Linked DNA regions of Schizosaccharomyces pombe. Changing the gene in region 1 together with any one later gene gives a genetic interaction. Each region holds a gene or a part of one and is shown in the gene's direction. Other genes may lie near its edges.

Region 1 (4,467 bases):
ATAACAAGCCTCTTTCTCTTTCATCAACAGCACCTTCGATGCCTTCAATTGGTTCTGTGGAGTTGGGAAATATGATTCCTAAGGAAACCCAGCCGCCCTCAATGCGAAATGATTGGAAAGATTATTTAGATAATAATTCCAAGGAAATTCTCGATCAATTTGGTTTTTTACAAAAACGACCAAGTCACGACACCCCTTTATGTCCGGAGGACATAAAATTAAATCAGAAACAGACTCTGTCGTTCTATGAAAGCAATTATGGCTTGGTTGATGATTTTTTTGGCAACGAGTTAGATGGGCTCAACGATTCTCCATTGTTGCTAAATAAAAAAGATATTTTATTGGATATGAAAGAAAGTACCCGACAAAAAAACTGGAGCTTGTTTTTTCAACGCTTGTACAAAAAATATAAAATTACCGATGAGGATACAATTGGTTTACTAGGAATATCTAGCATAGGTGTTAAAGGGCGTCATGGTAAAAAAAGATGGCATAAATTTCGTGAACTTGTGAAAAATGGTGTTCCTTTGTGCTATAAAGCTAAAGTTTGGTTAGAGTGCTCAGGCGCTTATCAATTACATTCACCTGGCTATTATGAAGAACTATTATCACGTACTGATGAGGTTGAATCAGCGAGTGTTGCGCAAATCGATATGGATATTAACAGGACTATGGCTAAAAATGTATTTTTTGGAGGAAAAGGACCTGGAATCCCGAAATTACGACGAATTTTAGTTGCTTATAGCCGCCACAATCCACACATAGGCTATTGTCAAGGAATGAATGTTATTGGTGCCTTTCTTCTTTTATTATATGCTTCAGAAGAAGACGCGTTTTATATGCTAATGAGCATAATTGAAAACGTTTTACCTCCGAAATACTTTACTCCTGACCTGATGACTTCGCGAGCTGATCAGCTGGTTTTGAAAAGCTTTGTGAAAGAGTCATTACCGGAAATCTATTCCCATTTAGAATTACTTGGGGTTGATTTGGACGCCATTTCATTTCATTGGTTTTTAAGTGTATATACTGATACACTCCCTACGAATGTACGATAAGTGGTTTTGAAAGATTATTAAAGTATGAATTGTTTACTAACTACTTTTTTTTAGATATCTTTTAGAATATTTGACATGTTGTTTTGTGATGGTTATGTATGCTTATTTAGAGTTGCACTTACGATTCTAAAATCTTTAAAGCAACAAATTTTAGCATGCAATTCCTCTTCTGCCATCTACTCATTTTTGAGTGATTTGGTTCAATACTCTTTTCAACCCGATTCGTTTATTAAAGAGGCTGCTGATCGGTGGTCCAAACTTGTTACGGAAAAGAGTATTGAACGGAAACGTAACTTGGCTATTTCTTCGTTAAACTTAGCGGTCAATTATTGAGTTCTTTGTTTTGTTTTACTGGTTTGATTCGTGATCGTTGGTAAGTTATGATCTTTAATAAATAAAAAAGCTTTTTGTTGCCTCATGGGCATCTTATTCATTTTTATGTTGGGTTACTCATGAATATAATTTTTTAATGTTTTCCATCACTGTATACTATGACTGGGTTATTTTAATGCTGTTTCAGGAGTCCATTTCATTATAATTTGGAAGTATAGAATGTAAAATCTTTTTTGAAAACTCTTGTATGAAGCTAGGCAATCCATGCATAACTTTCACTTATAGTTTTTGATTTGTTTGGTTTAATAAACATAGACAGATTCTTGCTCTTCATATATTTTCCTGTATGCTATATAAACATTGCTCTTACGGTTTGTGAGGTACAACGATCGATAACGCAGTCGGTTATATTTCTAGTATATCATAAGTGTCAGTGTCTCAGTAATGTCATCCGGTGTACTTTCCGCCATACACAAAAATATCAGTGGAATTGAATTGTATTGCGACCGACTCGTAGCACTTTCAAAAGCAAATGAATGAACTTCATGATGGTGAGAGCTCTGAGGAAGGAAGGATCAATGTTGAAGATCACCTAGAAGAAGCTAAGAAAGATGACACAGGACACTGGAAACATTCCGGCACTGCCAAGCCATCCAAGTTTCGAGCCTTCATAAGGCTGCATTTTAAGGATAGCAGAAAGTTTGCTTTTTCTCGAAAGAAGGAAAAAGAATTGACGTCGGAAGATAGCGATGCTGCAAATCAATCACCTTCTGGTGCACCTGAGTCGCAGACCGAGGAAGAGTCTGATCGCAAAATTGATGGCACTGGTAGTTCCGCAGAAGGTGGTGACGGGAGTGGTACTGATTCAATTTCCGTAATAAAAAAATCGTTTTTTAAAAGTGGGAGGAAGAAGAAAGATGTTCCCAAGTCGCGAAATGTTTCTCGTAGTAATGGTGCTGATACCTCAGTTCAGCGAGAAAAGTTAAAAGATATTTTCAGTCCTCATGGGAAGGAAAAAGAATTGGCTCATATTAAGAAAACTGTTGCAACGAGAGCGAGAACATATTCTTCCAACTCTATCAAGATATGTGATGTTGAGGTTGGTCCATCTAGCTTTGAAAAGGTTTTTCTACTTGGCAAGGGAGATGTCGGTCGAGTTTATCTTGTTAGAGAAAAAAAGTCTGGCAAATTTTATGCCATGAAAGTTTTGAGTAAGCAAGAAATGATTAAACGCAACAAAAGCAAACGAGCTTTTGCAGAACAGCACATTCTTGCGACAAGTAACCACCCATTCATTGTTACACTTTATCATTCTTTTCAATCTGATGAATACCTTTATTTATGTATGGAGTATTGTATGGGAGGTGAGTTTTTTCGAGCTTTGCAACGACGTCCTGGCCGTTGTTTATCAGAAAACGAGGCCAAATTTTACATTGCAGAAGTTACCGCTGCATTAGAATACCTCCACTTGATGGGATTTATTTATAGAGATTTGAAGCCTGAAAATATTTTGTTGCATGAGTCAGGACATATTATGCTTTCTGATTTTGATTTATCTAAACAATCAAACTCTGCCGGTGCACCAACGGTAATTCAGGCCAGGAATGCACCATCCGCTCAAAATGCTTACGCATTGGATACAAAATCATGTATCGCAGATTTTCGCACAAATTCATTTGTCGGCACAGAAGAGTATATTGCTCCAGAAGTTATCAAGGGTTGTGGTCATACAAGCGCTGTTGACTGGTGGACTTTGGGTATTTTATTTTATGAAATGCTATATGCCACGACTCCTTTCAAAGGTAAAAATAGAAACATGACTTTTTCGAATATTTTACACAAGGATGTTATATTCCCTGAATATGCGGATGCTCCTTCAATTTCCAGCCTTTGCAAGAATTTGATTAGAAAATTATTAGTGAAAGATGAAAATGATCGCCTTGGGTCACAGGCTGGTGCTGCAGACGTGAAGCTTCATCCTTTTTTTAAAAATGTCCAATGGGCTCTATTAAGGCACACTGAGCCTCCGATTATTCCAAAGCTTGCCCCTATTGATGAAAAAGGCAATCCTAATATTTCCCATCTAAAGGAAAGTAAAAGTTTGGATATTACTCATTCTCCCCAAAACACACAAACAGTTGAAGTTCCCCTATCTAATTTATCGGGTGCAGATCATGGAGATGATCCCTTCGAATCGTTTAATTCAGTTACTGTGCATCATGAGTGGGATTAGGTCATTTTCTTTTCTTCCTGTAACTTGCATATTGATGGTAATTTTTCGCACGTCTATGATATTTTTCTCATCTTTTTGTTTAATCAATCCATTATTAAAAGAGCATTTGCTGACTTCATTCATTGCATATATTGATACGTTGTTGAGGCACAAAATATTTCGCTTAACTAGATTCTCCTTTTCACCACAAAGTCTTTCTTTTTTCTACCTTACTTTTACCAGATTCAGACATGCTTTCTCTATTTTCAATAGGAAGTTAAATAAACTTCTAGACAGAATATAACATATACCATTCTAATAACATATTTTGTAAAATAACCAAAAACCACCTTAACAAAATTACCATTAACTAAACCGTCTCTATATCGTAAACGATATGTGACACTCGTGGTGAAAATGATTTGACACAATTTGTAACACAAACTGTATTTTTAGCCAACATTTTTGAAAAACATGAATTCACTTCAGAAGAGTATGTTTCGATATCTTCATCTTTTACGTTCTCATGAACATGTATAAAGGAATGTGATTCTCGCTTTAAAATTGAAGTAGCGGTTGACCAGGATTTTTCACTAGAGGGGAGCATTCCCAAATTTATATGTCGAGCAGAAATATTCATTTTGGAGAACCTTTCAGCTGCATAAACGTTGCTTTCCAAAAAAACTACAATACGATGAGTTCCTACTTTAAATTCATAGTTTTCTCCATTTCGAACTACATAAATAGACCAGCCATTTTTCAAAGCAGCTCTCCTTAACGCTTCAACACTCCATGGATTAATTTCCCAGCAAAAAACTGTTGAAGCTCCCGCTTTAACGTAAGAAAATGTAAAGTACCCTATAC
Region 2 (5,771 bases), 670 kb from region 1:
TTTGAATATATATGTACCATGATGTTGAATTTTAGATAAGTTTTAACTTCACTAACTTGAACTTTACCGGCGCAGAGCCTTCCTTCTTAGGAAATGTCCATATTCCAATGATGAATTTCTGTTTACGATCGGAATAACTACGTGAAATGCAAAAAGAAAATAAACGATGTCATTTATGAATTTATGTTTAGTTAATACGTATAGCTTAGCTTCGACAAGTGCCGCACAAAATTTCATACTGAGAGATGTATTTGTATAAAGTAATGTATTAAGTACAAAACAAAGCGTATATCTACCAGAGTGAGAAAACGGCTTCAAGAAGTGCATATAACTAGAAAAATGCTAAAAATTTTAACATCGACTAGTATAATGAACAGTAAATCTTGAAGGAAAAAAGAAAAGGAAGATTGAGCTAAATAATGGGCATGGGAATTGCAAGGACATAAATGCAACGTATACAGCGAGTACTAGGCACATACTAGTACGAGCAAATGCATCATATAACAGACAGATGAAGCTTCTAATAATTCATTGTAGGATGCAATAATGCAAAAGTGCGTGGTATTCTCATAGCAATAACGTATATGTTCCCAGACTTAAGGATTCCTTTATGTGTTGAAACAAAGGAAGCGTTAAAATTCATAGGATCGATCATGAGATGAATGGTAACAACAAATGCTACCATAGTTACTTTTGTGACACACCTAGGCCAGCAAAATAAACAACCAAAACGTTGTAATACACTAACTAATGTTTTTCAAAATCATAGACGAAAAAAAAAGTAAAGGACAATAGCCGAGGTTAAGTTGGTAAAGAGATTGTCCAAATTGCGATGGAGAGTGGTTATAAAGAAGAACTAAAAGGGTGGAAACCCCAGCAAGGATATTTTGATTTTTTTAAGGCTTACAAATATTCCACAGAAATTCCAACCCTTCTACTTGGAAGAAATGACACGAGAGAATTCTTCGTAGTTGATTACACCATCGCCATCGGTGTCGGCTTCACGTATCATATCGGCTACTTCTTCTTGAGACAAACGTTCACCAAGACTTGTAAGCACATGAGTCAACTCCTCGACTGTAATGTATCCATTTCCATCTTTATCGAAGACTTTAAAGGCTTCGCGAACTTCCTCTTCGTTGTCGGTATCCTTCATTTTTCGGGCCATCATAGTCAAAAATTCGGTAAAATCAATTGTGCCATTACCATCGGCATCGACCTCATTAATCATATCTTGTAATTCGGCGGCAGTAGGCGATTGACCTAACGATCTCATAACTACACCCAATTCATTGGACGTGATATTTCCATCCTGATCACGATCAAACAGTGAAAAGGCTTCACGGAATTCTGCAATCTGCTCATCTGTAAGGTTACGGGTAGTCTGTAATAATGTACGATACGGTAGACGACTTCAGAAATCATTTTCTGAGTGTCATCCGTTCATACGATTGTTAGTCAATCTTCAAAGGAAAAATCGGAATATGTCCAAACAATATAATAAACATACCATTTTCTGGTAAAAATCAGTAACTCTAAAGTCCTTCTATTCCTTTTTTTAACCTTTATTTTTGGCGGTTAGTGTTTTGCTCTAGTTACGTTAAAGTGCCTTGGAGAAATGAGGACTACCGTTGTCGCTTCCTAATGTTGCAAGTCCTACCATCAACAGTGATGTCAACAAACAATGAGAGTTTATTACATTATCGTATATGCTCTAACAAACCAGTAACGTACTTGCTATAAACCGCACTAAAACCACTAAACGGCGGATGAAGGAACTTTTTCAATGTCAGCTACGCATTTATTGGTATCTATTTAACGACACCTAGAACTGCCGTGTGGTTTACTTGTGACCTATTGTATTATGGTACACAGGTAAATACATTTAGTAACTTAGAATGATATTCTGATATAGAGGTTATATTGTTACCTATCACCGAATTAGCATAAAAGTGAATAGAGAAACGAGGTTTTGTTTATTTCAATTCATAAAATTTAAGCATTCTATTATTTTTTTTGTTATTCATTTTATAACTCTTAGTAATCTACCTAAGTAACTTATCATGTACAGCTTGACAGAGCAAATCAAACATGTGATAATTAGTGATACACAACGTAGTATGCTATAGCGCAACGGAACGTTGTCGACATTCAACTTATATATCGTACTCGATGTTTAAATCGCAAAAGGATTTAACAAAAAATATTTGTAAATGCAGTATTTGGAAATGGTTATTACAGCGCAATTTTTTGCTGAATGTAAACAGAAAATCGTGTTTTTCACTTTCCTCTATGAGGTTGAGTTAGTGATATTATTATTCATGATATGAAAATATTGTTTTCATTTTGATTTATGGAAAATTAATTATTGAGCAGATTTACAAACACTGTCACGGTTTAAAGTCTCCAAATAATTGAGCAAAATGACATAGCTTTGAAAAATTTGCTAAACAAAAGCATTTTTGATAAGTGCAGTTCATTAAAAGGTTTTTTTGCACGTTTATTATGAATTGCATTTTTGTTGTGTAGCATAATCTGCTTTTGTATTTTTTGTATATGCCAATTTTGATCTGATAATTTTTCTAGTTGAACACTCAAATGAAGAAGGAAAACTGAAAAAGTAAATAACAATATATTATTCAAGCAGGATTTCATTGCCTGTATATATTTCGATATTAATTCTTTTCTAAATGATTTATTCAATGTATAAAAATCCAGAACCTCAACATCTGATACAATGACCGTAGCCGAATTTATTGATTTTAGTCTGAACGGATATTTTAATCGAATAAACAATATTTGTTGTTATTGATGTAACACAAAAAAAAATAAAAAAATAAATTCAAATTGAGCATTTTTTTGTCTTTAATAATCATAAATTTAGACGTCTTTTGTTTTTAAAGATTTTATAGTTTATTCTCATAATTTTAAATTTTTGCACTTCCTGTTTAAAGACATCTCTACAGAATGACCATGAAAATTTGAGTATAATTCCTTAAAAGATTCAAATTTATAAATCTCAATTGATTTAATAAAATGCTGTGAAATGGGAAGTTTAACTTTTAATAATTCGAGGTACTCATATCCTTCATAGAAAAAAAATAAAAAAATAAAAATAAAAATAAACATATAAAAAATAAAATAATAAGAATGATCGAGAATTTAAAGTATTTATTGTTGAACTCTATCAGTACGTGTGTTTGAATATTTTCCTACTCAATTCATCTCGTAATTTTGTTGTGCAACTACAATAAATTCCTTATTGAACCACATACCTTTTTAGTAGACTGTAAAAACCATCAAGTGAATTCCAAATGGATAGCTGGGGTAAGCTATATATGATTCTACATGTTTATTAACTGAAATGAAGAGGACTTTTTAGTAGAAGATCCTGCAAAGCCTGCAGAGTTTGATTTCCCCTTAGGGAAGGATAGTCAATCCTCTTCCAAGCCAAAAAAGAGATTTGACGACGAAGAGGATGAAGATGAAGAAGAAAACAAAGAATCCTTGCAAAATGATTCTCATTCAGTATCCCAAAAATCCTCTTCATCTAGCCAAAATGATCAAGGCTCTAACAAAATGACTCGTATCCAACAAAAAATTCAGGAAAGAAATTTCGAAAAAGCCATTAAAGCAAGTGAAGCAGCTGCGAAGGAAGAATCACTAGAAAGTTCCAAAGAAGCTATGCGACAAGCCGAAATTGACTCTGACTTGGCAAATGCCATGGACTTGTTTGACATCGTTGATAAAAACTCAGCAAGTGCAAACCGCTCCAAGCAAGCTGATCAACGACAACTCAAAACAAAAGCCGACTATGCAGCTTTCCAAGCTGATATTTTGAAGAAGGTTAAAAATTGTCAAACCACTGCCGAGTATAATAATTTTGTGCAAGATTTAATCCCTTTATTGCTTACCGGCCTTAATGCTACCAATTTGAAGGCAGTTCAGAAATCAGTGAATAAACTTGTAGTCAACAAAGAGCAGCAAGAAAAAACTCAATCTAAGAGAGGTGCCGCTGCTCCTGCTGCCAAACCAGTATCAACTGCAGCTCCTTCTAAGAAAGGAGGAAAACCTACGGTCAATGTTAATTCTAAAAAAACCGTTGCTGACAAGTCCGCTTACGAAGATTACATTGAGGATGAGTATGATGACTATGCGGATGACTTTGATGACTTCATGTAAGCCGATTTGTTTTATACTGGGTCTTTTGGTATACATTGTTTTTTATTTCTCTGTAAACGGATTATGCGTTGGGGATGTTTAAGACTGTCTGGCTTCTTTACGATACCAACGATACCGATGGTTGGGAAAGTAATTTGTTCTGCACTTGTTACATTCTTGATTCTTTCTTCTATTAATATACGATAGCTTATAATGGAATATAAATGTCCATCGCATAACAAATTTCTTAAATTTAATCATAGATAACGTTGAACATGCGGGCTAATTCAGAAATAAGATGTTTTACAGTTTTCATTCCAACATATCCATATGCGTAGCCACTTTGTGAAGATCAAAATCCGCACCTTTACTAAATGCGGCAAGTAGTGCGAGTCGTTCTTTGCCAAGTGGTGTATTTTCGGAAGCATTGTAAAATTTTTGAATTGCCAAAACCAGAAGCTGCACATCGTTTGCCGATAATTTCTTTGGTTCGAATTGGCACCGCATGAGTGTTATTCCCTTAAGATTTAGTAAGTCTGCAAAATGAAGCATTATAGTATGAGGAGCAGCATAAGATCCCTTCAATTTATACTCCAGTAAGGATGTCACAAGGAGATGAGCTTCATTTTTATTTGGAAAATTCCACTGAAGAAAGTGACTTTCAATCCCTTTATCACCTCTCGGTAACGGGAGCACGAAATATGGGTACATTCTTGCTCTACTTAACATTTTTTCGTAAATTTCTTTGGGAATGCAAGCGCTTAAAATGTCATCCCCAATATTTCTTGCCCTCCATAATTTTTCTATAGTCGAAGTAGGAAGTTCCTTGATTTTTTCAACATCTATGTAACGATTGAGCCCACTTAAGTCTGATTTCTTAGCATTTTGCCCAACTAATGATTTTTTTGCGGAAAAAGATTTTTTGGGAATAACATGTTCTCTTTCTTTCGTTTGCCCCTTTTTTAGAAGGTTTGTAACGGGCATGTGAAGTTCTTCAGCCTTAGATTTTAGTTTTCTTTCATATCGTTCATAAACAGTATTTTTCTTAACTTCCAAATCATCGTTATTTGATGTGTGATGCGCAAAACGAACCGCATAAGCAGAAGTTCTTGGAATAGATTTAAAAGAATGGCAAAGTAAATGATTGACTGGAAGTTTCCATATGGGAAGCATACTAGATGAAATGAATTAAAAAAAGAGAATTGACAAAAATGAAAATTAAAAAGAAAAAGAGATCTGTGGAATCGCGATAACTAATGTGTATCCGTGTATATTGCTAGTGGTAAATAATACCACTCTATGAGTATAAAATGTTCTAGTTATTTAACTTTACATCTTAGATTTCAAACTCCGTTCATTTCAACTATTTATTTTTCTTAATATTTTGCTTTAAAAAAATATTTTAAAAAGTATCTAAAGAGATAACTACAAAATTGTTCATGCCTGCGTTTAATATCTAAAGTGACCTCCTATCCAGAAAAAACAGGCATATACAAATAAGAAAATTCCTTTAGTACTTAAATAGAAGAAAAAAAAAAGTAGGATCTTTAGGCAAGAATTTACTAAAATGCTCTTGTTTATCTAAATCAAAGTATTTAAATTCGCAAGAT
Region 3 (6,962 bases), on another chromosome or scaffold:
GCGGATTTGAAGAAATATTCAGAATCACTATGCTTGCCAAAGACTTCGTTTCCTATTAAGCCAAACGTTAAAGGAAATAATGAAAAGTATTTCAAATCCATCACATCAGACCTGTATGAATGGCAGAAGGAGAATTTGAATAAAGAAGATTCTTTCGTGCTATTAGATGGGCCTCCGTTTGCAAACGGTCGACTGCATATAGGTCATGCTCTAAATAAGATTTTGAAGGATATCATCAATCGTTGGCAATTGCTGAAAGGCCGTTCTGTGCATTATGTTCCTGGTTGGGATTGTCATGGTTTACCAATCGAGTCAAAAGCTATTAAAGCAAACGCCGAGCGTAAAAGTTCTCTTGAAATTCGAAAGATTGCTAAAGATTTCGCAAATTCGGCCGTTCAAGAACAACTCATGATGTTCCAACGTATGGCTGTAATGGGAGATTGGCCTTCTAGGTACATCACCATGAGTGACAAATTTGAAATAGCAGAGCTTAAGGTTTTCTTAAGTTTGTTACAAAAGGATCTTATATTTCGTCAAAATAAACCTGTTTATTGGAGCTCTTCAAGCAGGTCCGCTTTAGCTGAATCAGAAATAGAATATGATGATAATCACGTCAGCACGTCTATCTACTTTACGTTTCCGGTGAACAGTTTTTCTATCGATGGATGTGAATACAATAATGTAAAGGCATTAGTTTGGACAACAACTCCCTGGACCATTCCTTCAAACCTTGCATTATCTTACCACCCTGAAATCAACTATGGTCTATACCAGCACAATAATTCGATTTATTTAATGTCTGATAATTTAGTTCCAAACTTGGATTTTATGCAGGGAGCTAAGCGTCTTGCGAGTTGCCCTTCAGATATTATTTCATCATTTACATATGAGAACCCTCTATTACCGAAGCAAAGCTTTCCATTTTTACAATCTAACTACGTTACTAATGATATCGGTACTGGTATAGTACATGTCGCTCCTGGCCATGGAATGGAAGATTATCTTCTAGGACTGGAAAACAATTTGCGTCCTTTTTCACCACTCGATGATTATGGTCGATACACTAAAGAAGCTTTGGATGGAAGCCTTGAAGGATTGGAAGTTCTTGGTGATGGAGGAAAGAAAGTAATAAGTATTATGAAAAATCAAAATATGATTGTTAAGGTCTCTCCTTATAAGCACCGCTACCCTTACGATTGGCGAACACATAAGCCATTAATTTTACGGGCGACCCCTCAATGGTTTATATCATTGGAGAATGAAAGGAAAACTGCCATAAAAGCACTTGATAGTGTAAAAATGATTCCTCCAAATTCGCGCGCCAGACTTCTTGGTTTTTTGAATGGCCGTCCTGAATGGTGCATTTCTCGCCAACGGGCATGGGGTTTACCCATTCCTGTATTGTATGAGAAAGGAACTAAAATCCCCCTACTAACTGTGAAAAGTGTATCCTATATCATTGAGAAAATGGAAGTAGAGGGAGTTGATTCTTGGTTTAATGATACTGAAAACAATGGGCATGCTCAGTGGGTTCATCCGGATTACAGAAATAAGGAGTATATTCGTGGCACTGAAACACTTGATGTATGGTTTGATTCTGGGACTAGTTGGACTACAATAGCACCTCGTAAGAATAAACCGCTCATTGACCTTTGCTTGGAAGGAAGCGATCAACACAGGGGATGGTTTCAGTCACTTCTTCTCACATACACTGCCTACCAATCAAAACCAGAAGCACCGTTTTCTACTTTGTTTACGCACGGATTTATCTTTGATGAAAGAGGTCAGAAACAATCCAAGTCTTTGGGCAATGTAACCGACCCTGAAGATGTAATAAACGGAAAGCTTTTAAAAGGAAAAAAGCTTCCATATGGTGTTGATTTACTGAGACTTTGGGTTGCATCATGTGACAGTACGAATGATACTAACCTGGGACCGAACATTTTGACGCAAGTTGGTGAATCCTTAAAAAAGTGGAGATTAACATCCCGATTTTGTCTTGGGAACTTACATGACTGGAATACCTCGAGCTCAGTTGATGTTGGTGAATTACGTGGTATTGATAAGTTGGCTTTAGTCCAACTAGATAAATTTCAGACTGAAATTCGAGAACTTTATGAATCATATTCAATTAACAAAGTTGTTCATCATCTCAATTATTTTATGAACTCTTTCTTATCCTCTACATACTTTGACGCCGTAAAGGATCGTCTGTACGCTGATTTACCCAACAGTGTATCTAGGAGAAGTGTTCAAACTGTCCTTTATCATTCATTACTTACGCTCATTTGGGCCATTTCTCCCATTACTCCACTTTTGGCACAGGAGATTTGGCAAAGCTTACCCGATAGTTATTTGAATTCTTCTTACCAAACTCCTTTTCACGCTGGAGAAACACATCTTATAAGCAGCTTAAGGTCAAAAGTTGATTTACTTGATAGAAAATTTTTAATTAAGGAATACTTGGTTCTTCAACAACTTAAGTATAGTATTAATTTGTTGATTACCGCAGCTCGTGAAAATCTAACTATTAAAAACTCATTAGAAGCTTATGTCGTTATTAAGTCAAAATCTCAATCTTTATTGAGTTTTTTAAAAAATTACTCTTCCGACCTTCCTTTTCTGTTCAATACATCGAAGGTATTTATTAACGAAATTCCCGAAAATCTGAAATTAGCTTCCGTTACACAACCTGAAGTTCAGTTGGATTATGGGGTTGCAAATATCTCTTTATTTTTTTCAAATCAACAAAAATGTCTACGTTGCTGGATGCATACAGCTCATGAGGACGGATTATGTGACAGATGCGAATCTGTTTTGGCCCAACTGAAACGCTAAGAAAAAAGCTGAACGCTCTTTATTATGATAATTTTTGTACCATAGTCATTTATTTTTGTAATACTTAATTAAAATCAAGCGACAATTCATTTTTTGTATTATTTTATTTTACTGTAACATTAGTAAATAAGGAGACATAGTGAAGGCCATAAGTTTGGGTGGTTTTGGGGCTAACAGTTGACCTTCGCAAACTAGCAAAATGTCAAAACGCGGTGCTGATCATCAGTTAACTAAGGATCAAGATGATTCTGATGATGACCGTCATGGTCCAGTTGAAGTTCCTAAGGAGGCCTCCGCAGACGTGATGGCCACAAGAAAGTATGTAACGATGAAACATAGTTCTTCAATTTTTTAGGTACTAATGTATTAGAATTGCAAAGCCAAAATCTAGAAAAAGACCAACGAGCGGTGTTTCTTCTCCGGGAATTTTTGCAAATTTGGCAGCAAAACCGGTGTCTTTACCTGCATCGACTACGCAATTTACATTTGGAAAACCCGCGGTTACAGCTAATAATGATTCAGATATTCACTTGAAAAAACGCGGTCTTAATAAATCATTTATTGACGCTGTTATCAAAAGTGTTGACAATAATCCCTTTGGTAATTTGAGCCCTCTGTTTGATGAATACAGGCAGCATTTTTCAAGTATAGAAAAAAAGCCAGCAGAAGGTAATGCGTTTATAGTTAGTACTTCATTTCTTTCTAACGTTTTCTTAGAACAACCAACTTCAAATGCTGTTGTGTCTGAGGTAAATCCTCAGCAACAAAAAAGCCAAGATTCTTCTTCTTTTGTTACAGAAAAACCAGCTTCTTCAGAAAAAGAGGATAAGGAGAAGCCCCTTGTTCCCCCCGGTGCTCCTAGGTTCGGATTTTCTGCTCCAGCGCTTGGTAGCTCTTTCCAGTTTAATTCATCGGCTTTTACTCCTAAAGGGTCATTTGGTGAGAAGTCCGCAACAGAAGCGGAAGCGAAGGAGAAAGAAACATCTTCTAATCAAACTGCCACTGGTACTGCCGCTACCACAACCAACCAGTTTTCATTCAATACTGCCGCTAATCCTTTCGCTTTCGCTAAGAAGGAAAATGAGGAATCAAAACCATTAACTCCCGTGTTTTCTTTCTCAACGACTATGGCTTCTGCGGATGCTTCAAAAGAGACCAAACAAACCCATGAAACTAAAGATTCAAAGAGCGAAGAATCTAAACCCTCGAACAATGAAAAATCCGAGAACGCCGTTGAACCTGCCAAGGGAAATACTATGAGTTTTTCTTGGACTCCTGATAAGCCTATCAAATTTGACACACCTGAGAAAAAATTTACATTTACCAATCCATTATCGAGCAAAAAGTTACCGGCCTCTTCGGATGTGAAGCCTCCTAGCGCTGCGGCTGTCGGCTTTTCATTTGGAACTACTACTAATCCGTTCTCTTTTGCTGCTCCGAAATCTTCTTTTCCTACTTCTTCTACTCCAGCTTCTGTTGGCGCTGAAAAAAGTGAAGAAACTTCTAATGGAAACAAATCAGAGCAAGAAGAAAAGGAAAACGGAAATGATGAAACTCGATCGAATGATTCTCTAGTTTCTGGTAAAGGAAAAGGCGAAGAAAATGAAGACAGCGTATTTGAGACAAGGGCCAAGATATACCGTTTCGATGCTACTAGTAAATCTTATTCTGATATCGGGATTGGTCCATTAAAAATTAACGTAGATCGTGACACTGGCTCTGCTCGCATCCTTGCGCGTGTCGAGGGAAGTGGAAAACTTTTGTTAAACGTTCGTTTGTGCCAGGATTTTGAATACAGCCTGGCTGGTAAAAAGGACGTAAAAGTACCTGCTGCTTCTACTGATGGAAAATCAATTGAAATGTATTTGATTCGTGTGAAAGAGCCTAGTACTGCGGAAAAGTTATTAGCCGAATTGAATGAGAAAAAGGTCTCAAAGTCAGAGAACTAGAAAGCAGTGATTGATTCAGTCACTATTTATTCCTTTATTTTTGGTCTATTAAATGTACATAAATCTAATAAATTTTTCGGAAATATATTGTCAAGATTATCAATTTAATACTGTCATTCGATTTTCATTTGTGGATAGGGATATACACAATCAGTCTTTTACGAAATGTGCATACAAATATGAAATTCCCGGAAGCATACATGCTCTCCAAGTACATTGCCTTTATGGAATATTAAATTGGTTAAGCTAGTCATATCTTTTCTTTTTAAATTTACGCAGAACATCAAAGTTTTACGGAACTGATTTAATTATCCTAATTTTCATCTTATGAATGATTGATAAATTTTTGAGTGAATTTTAAAACTGTTGTATATCGCCAGTGATATATCTTGAATTGATTGATTCAATAATCGGTTTCGTTATTAAATTACTTTTGTCTATATATTGGTTCCGGATTTTCAAACACCTGCCTAGCTTTTAGAAGGGTCAAACCCCCTTATTGAATAAGTATCTTGGCGCGAACTTTTAATAAAATAAGCAAGTAAATGAGCCACTATCAATTTCGAATTGTTAGTTTTTTGAAAAAAGTAACTTCAACAAATACGTTTGTAGCGAATTTATCGCTTAAAGTTGATTTTTTTACTGTAATTGAATACTGTATTGGACCGGCTATAATTAACAGCTTAATTTTACAAGTTAAGAGTTATAATCGATAAGTATAAATCATTTTAGGGTATCAATTTTTGACCATTCTAACACCTAATTTTTTGCATGTTTATCATAGTAAATACCCTAAAACATCCAAGTAAAAGCATAAATAATGACTACCAAAACGAGCCCATAAATAAATTTTTTAAGAGAATGAAACAAATTGTTCTAACCGAGCTTAAAGTATGAAATATTGGCTTAGCAATAATTAGATTCATGACAATTCGGATACTGATGAACTTTAACTATGTTCAAAATTTTGGGATTCCTCATCCTCTTCATCTTCTGATATATCCTCTTCATCGACTGGGTAAGTGAGAATGGCGGCAATACCTGACAACAGATCCAGCTGCTTCCCTGACTCATGCAAACTACTGAAAATATAAACAGGACAGTTAATCTCCTTAACACCTTCTACTAATGAAACCCATTTTTTTCTAGTAGCAATGTCAGAACTCCTGAACAGAGAATCGCTAATCAGAAGTTCTCCGATCGCGCCAAGTTCAAAAGCCTTCAAAACATGATTTGGACCATACCATGCCTTTCTATCATCTTCATTCATGACATCGTAAAATTTATTCAGAACGCGAATTTCTTGTACGTATTTTGTGTCGGCTAGTTTTGATTCAACAGCAGGGTCCTTCAAAATTTCATTAAGGGAATGAATATGACCAGTGCTAGAATGAAGGATGACAAATTTATTCTTTGATTTAACAATTTGTTTCAAGTCTAACTTCACGGCCATGCTGAATATGTAGTCATACAAGCCTCGAGCCACAAATCCTGGTGAAGCAAGAATAACGACTTTCAATTTATCAAAATCAAATTCTGAGTTAATGGATTGAAAAACAGAGTCATAAAATTTATCAAGGCCCTAAAAAATTGATCAGTACGGACGAAAAATCAAAGTCTAAAAATTTACCTTTTGGTAAGCGCTGCTGTCCCCTCTCCGTTTCCTTGGAATCACTTGATCAATCCTTTGACGCAGGATGGTCATATAATCTGTAATGAGACAAATATTGGCAAGACCTGCAAGTCAGTAAACATGCACGAACTAATAAAGCGATGTAAGCCAAGAAATTTACCTTCATCTAAAACCACAGCACCTATTTCAGCATTTCTTGAAGGATTACAAGCAGCATCTACACGGTCCAATGCAAATGCATCCCATTCATTTTTATATAGAGTAAAATTGCGATGTAGTTCTAAGTCCAAGGTATGGTAGGATCCCATCTTAACTTCAGGATGGTATTCAGTTGTCCGTCCTTTGATGTGCAATTGAGCAGCCTTTGTATCAAAGTCCATATTCTCAACTAAAATACGTAGTTTCATCACAACTCTTGAACCTGACGTACTTCCTGTAGCGCCAACTTTCACTACACGACTAAACAACAGAAAAAACAGGTGTTATTATCGAACATTGAAGATACACTTTATTTCATACCGAACTGTAGAAGCCTTCAGCTG
Region 4 (6,374 bases), 3.1 Mb from region 1:
AAAGAATTTCAAGATGTTTATGAACCAGCTGGTATGTTATAAAAGGTCAAAAAAGCTTGCTAATTACACTTTTAGAGGACACGTTTGCTTTGCTCGATGCGCTTGAAAAGGATGCCAAAAAATTGCGCCAAATGGCTGAAATGAAAAACTTATTAACAGCGGAAATTGGGTAGGTTTTTGGTTAAATCGTGAAGATATTAACCTGCAGCTGCGGATCTGGCTGTGCATCCTCATTTTTAAAAAGTGGGATTTTGAAAAACAAGCCAATTGGTACGGTTGCAAACCACAAAATATAATATGCTGATGTCTAGTTCATTTTATGTCCGACATCTCAAATTCTGCGTGTCGTGCTAGTAAGATAACTGCTCTGAATAATCGTGAGTTGTATAAGGACGATAATGGGTTGTTCATTACCGTACAAACTTCATTCCTTGACGGAATTAGACTCGGGAATGGAGTTGATATTTTAATATTCAACCCTCCATATGTTCCTACCGAGTTCGAAGAAATACCAAGTGAAGCTGCTACTATTGCTTCGGCTTGGGCTGGTGGTACCGATGGTATGGATGTCACTAGCACTTTGTTAAACCAATTAAAGGTAAGGTCAGACCTTTATATTTACATTAATAACTCATTTATGGATAGGATATACTTTCACAAGACGGAGTATTTTACATGGTTGCAGTTGCTCGCAATAAGTTACACTCTATTTGTGAAATATTGCAAAAGGATGGGTTTATTGTTAATGAGACTTTAAAAAGAAAAGCTGGGCGTGAAACACTAAGTATTCTAAGAATTTATCGGATTGGTAATACAATTTGGGATGAATAATTCAAATTTTTGGGGTCAATCAAAAAACAATCCTAGAAAGGAGTCGAAGAATTATACACATTCAATAGGGATGTTCATCATCAAGCATGTATGACAAGTTTTCCATTATCAATGTGAGCCCTTCTATTTACGCAGGCAGGGAGTTCATCTTCGTAATGAGAAATTATAACCATGGCTTGGGAAGGAGAGAGCTTTTCATTTAAGTAATTATGCGCCATATGGACATATTTGGTATCTACTCCCTGGAAAGGCTCGTCCAAAACAACTAAGCGAGGTTGTTTGACAATAGCACGACAAAACAAAATAAATCTCTGCATGCCAACCGAGATACTGCTTAATGGTTTATCTTTAATATCCTTTAGTTCAAATTCCTCTAAGATGCTACTAATTGCTGCCAACCGAGTTTCGGTTAACTTTGGGATGGTAAAGGTGGTGCTCCAGGCGCTAAGAAGAGCTTCAAAGCATGTATGTTGCTTCGGGAAATGATTGTGTATCTCTGGAGACTAAAAAGTCGTTAGTTTTAAAGACTATTTACTTTTATAGACTTACACAATGCCCTATGTTTTCTTGGATATCGAATATAGAAATTCCAGTGCCGGGCCCAATGCTTTTTCCAAAAAATTTAATATTGCTAGCAAATAACTTGGGGTGGTCTCCAACTACATATGCTAAAAGTGTAGTTTTACCGCTTCCATTGCTACCTGTTAAAGCCCATCTTTCTCCTTCTCTAATAGTCCAATTTATGTCAGAGAGTACTTTTCGTCCCCAGTAAACACAGTTGAGATGTTCCATGGAAATTAAAGGCTTGCCTATTGTAATAGGCTTGCTTTTTTTCATCTGGGGCTTGACAGGTATGTTAGTTGAGTGACTGGTCATAGGAATATACTGTTCCTTGGGCCCTTGATATGTGATTTTTTTATTTTTCAATTCCAATACATGTGTGATAAAGTCGGGAATTTTGTCCTGAGGACGTAAGGAAAGTACAATCTTTGGCGAACAATGGTTTGACATTTCACCTAAAAGTGAAGACAAAACAGATCTTGAAGTAACATCAAGTCCAGCTAAAAAAAATACTGTTAGTAATTGTATTAACATAAATTGCACCCCTTAGTGGCCAGCGTACCGTAAGGTTCATCAAGTAAAAGAAGCTGCGGCCTTTGCACAAGTTTCGATGCAAGCATCGCTCTTCTAGATTGTCCATTGCTCAAATTTATTAAACTCGAAGGAAGTAAATGAGATAACTGAGTCATAGATGCGGCCTCTTGTACATGTTGAGAAGCAAACTTCTCATTCCCTCGATAAGCGCCCAAAAGCCACTTCTCCAATGTAGTGTCATGTTCTTTGTCTCTAAAGGAATGATATCTTTCAGAGTAGTATGCGGCACGCTGCTGTCCAGAACTTTTAAAATCAAGCAATTGGATTGCTTGCCATGGGCTATCAGATTTGCCTTTCAAGAATGGATATGAAAAACTAGTGGAGGGTGAGGGTGTAAAGGAACCTTGTATACACTGTATTGAGTTAGCAATTTAGTAAAGTTACTACCATGTAATTAATGATAATAAAAAGTGTTTGGTTTCCGACTAAGGGACAAAAATGAATTGTACAAAGCTGATTTAGTAAATTTGATGAATTGCTAAAGCTTTAGCGCATTTTTACTCCAAACACTTCGCATAAATTACAAAACATACGCGCAAGAATGTAGTCCTACCACTTCCAGTGTTTCCAATAATGGCCCAATTTTGCTTTCGAGCTAGTTCAAAAGACACATTCTTGAAAAGGGGAAATCGCGCATCTAAGAATGTCGTATTGGCAAATTTGACAAAAGACGCCATGCTGCAAGATATGGCCGCCGCTATATGCTCAGCAGCTTATATGGTGATTGTTAAAGTAATTAATGAAATGAGAAAACTCCGTATAAGTCAATTTATAAGTTGCAGTTTGATTCTGTGGTAGTGATCGTACGAAAGATAATAAGGCTTCCAGAACACTGCGTTTTAATTATGGAAGAAGCCATTAACAACGTGCTTCTTCTGTTACGAGAGGACTCGATATCTTTAGAAACGTAAGTCCGGTGGTTTTTAATCCATTTTGTTAACAATCCAAGTGTCCTATGGGAGACACACTATGTCTTACTCAATTTACATAATGAACAGAACCTTCGACTGGTGGTAGCACAATTGATTGCTTGCGGTAGAATATGGGACTATTGGAATGAGCATCGTTCTGAATACTTTGCATTTTGGGTTGAATTGATAAGCAGGAAAAAGGTAACGAATAACGGTTTGCCATTTTCATCCTTCGTGAAAAGCATTGTAGGCATTCTTGAGGTAGATGCAAGCAATGAAATTCTTTGCTTTCGAAGAATTTGTCTCCTTTGCGTTTTTTACAAACTATTGAGTTGCGATCATATCGTCAACTTACAATACCCCTTGAAAAGAGCAGTTAGCAAAGCTTTATCAAAACAGATAAAAACGCATCAATTTTCAGGATTTGAAGCCAATTTTTTACTGCAACAACTTTTTGCATCTGTCGATTCATCAGCGAGCGATATTTCTTTTGATGCATTTTCGTTACTCCCTCATTTATTGGTAAGTAGCAGTAAATATAGAACTCCAAAAAACTTTATACTAATTGTCTCAGAAATGGGAAGAAATTGTTTGGAGCGGTTTCATCAATTATTTGGATACTGAACACAAGCGGGATTCCTTGCCTACAGCTGTTTTGTGCCATCTGTTATTACGCTTATCAACTTATCAGCAAATCAGCATTATTAAAAGGTTAGTGTTTGACTTCACTGTTCTGGAAGACTAAATGATGCAGGTTAATAACTCTAATTGACAAGGCGATTCCCTCTTGGAAAAGTCGTTCCTCTGATTCTAAATATAATGACCATCAGTTTGTTAAAAAAAATTTTTTCTCAATAATTATGGTTTTAGAATCATTGGCAAAATCTCAGTACCGTAAAAGCAATGTATTGGCTGCAGACCGATCTTTATGTGAGTATATTATTTTGACTTTGTTTCATATGGAGTATCTATTCTCTTTTGTTGCATCATCATGGTCTACATTGGATTTTGTAATAACAACATGCTTGAGTCGTGTTGCTCAACCAGCCAAGTTTATCTCGGAAACTGTGCGGGAAGCCATTATAGATTCAATTCAACTCGAGGGATATGTAGACTTACAAAAGCTATCAGGCTCTCCAGTTTTGGTAACTTTGAGTTTTATCAATAATTGGCAAAATCTCATATGTCGACGTTTAGAAAAGCAAACAGTCAACGAGAAAGTTATAACGTTAAGCTCCACTGCTAAAGAAATATCATCATTAGGTCTTAGTTTCGCTGAAAAACTTATATCTCAATCTGACGAATCTACATTATGCAAACATTATGTTTACGCGTCGCTGTATGCGTGTCTTTTTTGTAATCTAAATGAGGGCTCTCCAAAAGACTATCTAGACAATGACATTTATGTTCATGCTAGGTGTCTCTTCTTGCTTACCAAAACGTTGAATCTCGACTCTCTGAAGAGCATCCTTTGCTCGAGAGTAAGGTTATACTATAACATCGAAATAGCTTATTATTTCACAGATGTTTTATTGAAATGGTTTCAGCCAATTATACGATATGAATTTGACAACGCCCTTATTTTTTATAAAGCTTCAATCAGTTTAGTAAGTGTTCTTGCTCCTGCTGCTCAAAAGCAATTCTTATCCAATTATTTGAATTCAATTCAAGGATTTTCAACTGAAACCAAAGAAGACTTAATTTTCCTTGTATCTTCCCAAATTCGTCAAATGCCCTATCAAAACGCTACTTCCTTGCTATCCTTTTGGCTATCTATTGTCGTAGGTCGTGCAGTTTAAAAACTCTATAATTTAGATGAAGGATAATATTTTCCGTTCTTTTCCAAAGCTATTGAGCTATTGGATTGTTTTTGGTTACACTACAATATCAATTATTGTAACATGAAACGTGTATATTAGTCAGTTTCGTTTTTTTTTTATCTTCAAATTCGAATTATTATTTTCAATATACCTATTATAAACATTTGTTTACCTTTCTCCTCTGTACATATTTTTATTTAATTTTTATATTCACTAATAACGGAGTGTAACGAATAATCTGGTTTACGATATATTAGGCAACGTATTATAGGGAATATTAACGATATTATCATTTGGCTGGGTTTTGGTCAGTCAGCAACTACTACTTTACACGTTCTCTTTTAAAAATGTTTATGACTAGATCAGGTAAGTAAACTGTACAAGTTTCTTAAGCTAATCTTTAGAATATGATAGAGGAGTAAATACCTTTTCTCCTGAAGGCCGGTTGTTTCAAGTGGAATATGCAATCGAAGCCATCAAATTAGGATCCACTGCTATTGGTGTGAAAACTAAGGATGCCGTCGTCCTTGGTGTTGAAAAGAGATTAACTAGTCCACTTATGGAATCTCATTCTGTTGAAAAGCTGTTTGAAATTGATTCACACATTGGTTGCGCAATTTCAGGCCTAACAGCTGATGCCCGTACAATTATTGAACATGCTAGAGTTCAAACACAAAATCATCGTTTTACCTATGATGAACCACAAGGTATAGAAAGTACTACCCAGTCAATTTGTGATCTCGCACTTCGCTTTGGTGAAGGAGAAGATGGCGAAGAACGCATCATGTCAAGACCGTTTGGTGTTGCTTTGTTAATTGCTGGAATAGATGAGCATGGTCCTCAACTGTAAGTCAAAATTATTTTATTTTTATGGAACGATGTGGCTATTGTGTTAATGCTTTTGTTTTTTGATTATCTTCGTACACCTGCCATTGTTTGGATTCCTTTTGTTGTAATTCGTTAAGATGCTAACTTCCTATACAGATACCACTCTGAGCCTTCAGGTACATATTTCCGTTATGAAGCTAAAGCTATTGGTTCAGGTAGTGAACCCGCGAAAAGCGAACTAGTGAAGGAATTTCACAAAGTACGTATTAACTTTATTTGCTTTATCTTTTTCCTTTTTTGTTAAACTAACAATGTCGTTCAGGATATGACTCTCGAGGAAGCTGAAGTATTGATTCTCAAAGTACTTCGACAAGTAATGGAAGAAAAGCTTGATTCCAAAAATGTTCAACTTGCCAAAGTTACCGCTGAGGGTGGATTTCACATCTATAATGACGAGGAAATGGCCGATGCTGTAGCACGTGAACAGCAAAGAATGGATTAACCTATGATGATTTAAATTCCGCCAATATTACCAAATAAAGCATGATTAGTCGAATGTTACATAACTCTACAGACTTGTTTCGCCATCACCTTTATCCTTTTCCTAGTATCTATGATTAGAAATGTATTCCTTTCATCTTTTAACCGTTTTTGTGTTTGTTCGGTTGATTGTTTATTGTATTTTAATTGTGATTAACCATATATGTAATATCAGTATATGTAACGTATCTTTTCTTTAAATGAACCTTTTGCTAATAAACAGCTTTTATTTGTACTAGTCTCCAGGTTTAAGTCAAATTTTATCGATTTATCGGTTCATATGGTTTGT

The links.
Region 2: mutations in ppk14 (region 1) and tif310 together harm fitness more than expected from each alone (negative genetic interaction), as found in Schizosaccharomyces pombe (one large-scale study listed by BioGRID).
Region 3: mutations in ppk14 (region 1) and nup61 together harm fitness more than expected from each alone (negative genetic interaction), as found in Schizosaccharomyces pombe (one large-scale study listed by BioGRID).
Region 4: mutations in ppk14 (region 1) and pex8 together harm fitness more than expected from each alone (negative genetic interaction), as found in Schizosaccharomyces pombe (one large-scale study listed by BioGRID).

The regions. Positions count from the first base shown.
Region 1 is NC_003424.3:768,700-773,166, forward strand, and holds ppk14 (serine/threonine protein kinase Ppk14), read left to right. Parts: upstream 1-1,840; 5' UTR 1,841-1,923; coding exon 1,924-3,624; 3' UTR 3,625-3,967; downstream 3,968-4,467. Other genes in the region: SPOM_SPAC4G8.04 (GTPase-activating protein), read left to right, coding at 1-1,049, 1,113-1,391; tRNA 4-demethylwyosine alpha-amino-alpha-carboxypropyltransferase Trm12, read right to left, coding at 3,974-4,467.
Region 2 is NC_003424.3:1,440,672-1,446,442, reverse strand, and holds tif310 (translation initiation factor eIF3j (p35)), read left to right. Parts: upstream 1-3,261; 5' UTR 3,262-3,314; coding exon 3,315-3,327; intron 3,328-3,370; coding exon 3,371-4,182; 3' UTR 4,183-4,473; downstream 4,474-5,771. Other genes in the region: calmodulin Cam1, read right to left, coding at 935-1,384, 1,511-1,513; F1-ATPase chaperone Atp11, read right to left, coding at 4,474-5,334.
Region 3 is NC_003421.2:729,297-736,258, reverse strand, and holds nup61 (nucleoporin Nup61), read left to right. Parts: upstream 1-3,017; 5' UTR 3,018-3,037; coding exon 3,038-3,156; exon of another isoform or gene 3,157-3,208; coding exon 3,209-3,507; exon of another isoform or gene 3,508-3,555; coding exon 3,556-4,787; 3' UTR 4,788-5,388; downstream 5,389-6,962. Other genes in the region: ism1 (isoleucine--tRNA (Ile) ligase), read left to right, coding at 1-2,838; dom34 (translation release factor eRF1 family protein), read right to left, coding at 5,737-6,369, 6,418-6,524, 6,581-6,879, 6,940-6,962. UniProt on the Schizosaccharomyces pombe protein: Functions as a component of the nuclear pore complex (NPC).
Region 4 is NC_003424.3:3,909,062-3,915,435, reverse strand, and holds pex8 (protein Pex8), read left to right. Parts: upstream 1-2,812; 5' UTR 2,813-2,831; coding exon 2,832-2,893; intron 2,894-2,935; coding exon 2,936-3,419; intron 3,420-3,471; coding exon 3,472-3,608; intron 3,609-3,651; coding exon 3,652-4,696; 3' UTR 4,697-4,901; downstream 4,902-6,374. Other genes in the region: eRF1 methyltransferase Mtq2, read left to right, coding at 1-31, 76-169, 209-270, 312-598, 646-831; SPOM_SPAC323.04 (ATPase), read right to left, coding at 912-1,334, 1,381-1,892, 1,955-2,339, 2,520-2,663; proteasome core particle subunit alpha 5 Pup2, read left to right, coding at 5,065-5,083, 5,122-5,563, 5,702-5,804, 5,868-6,047.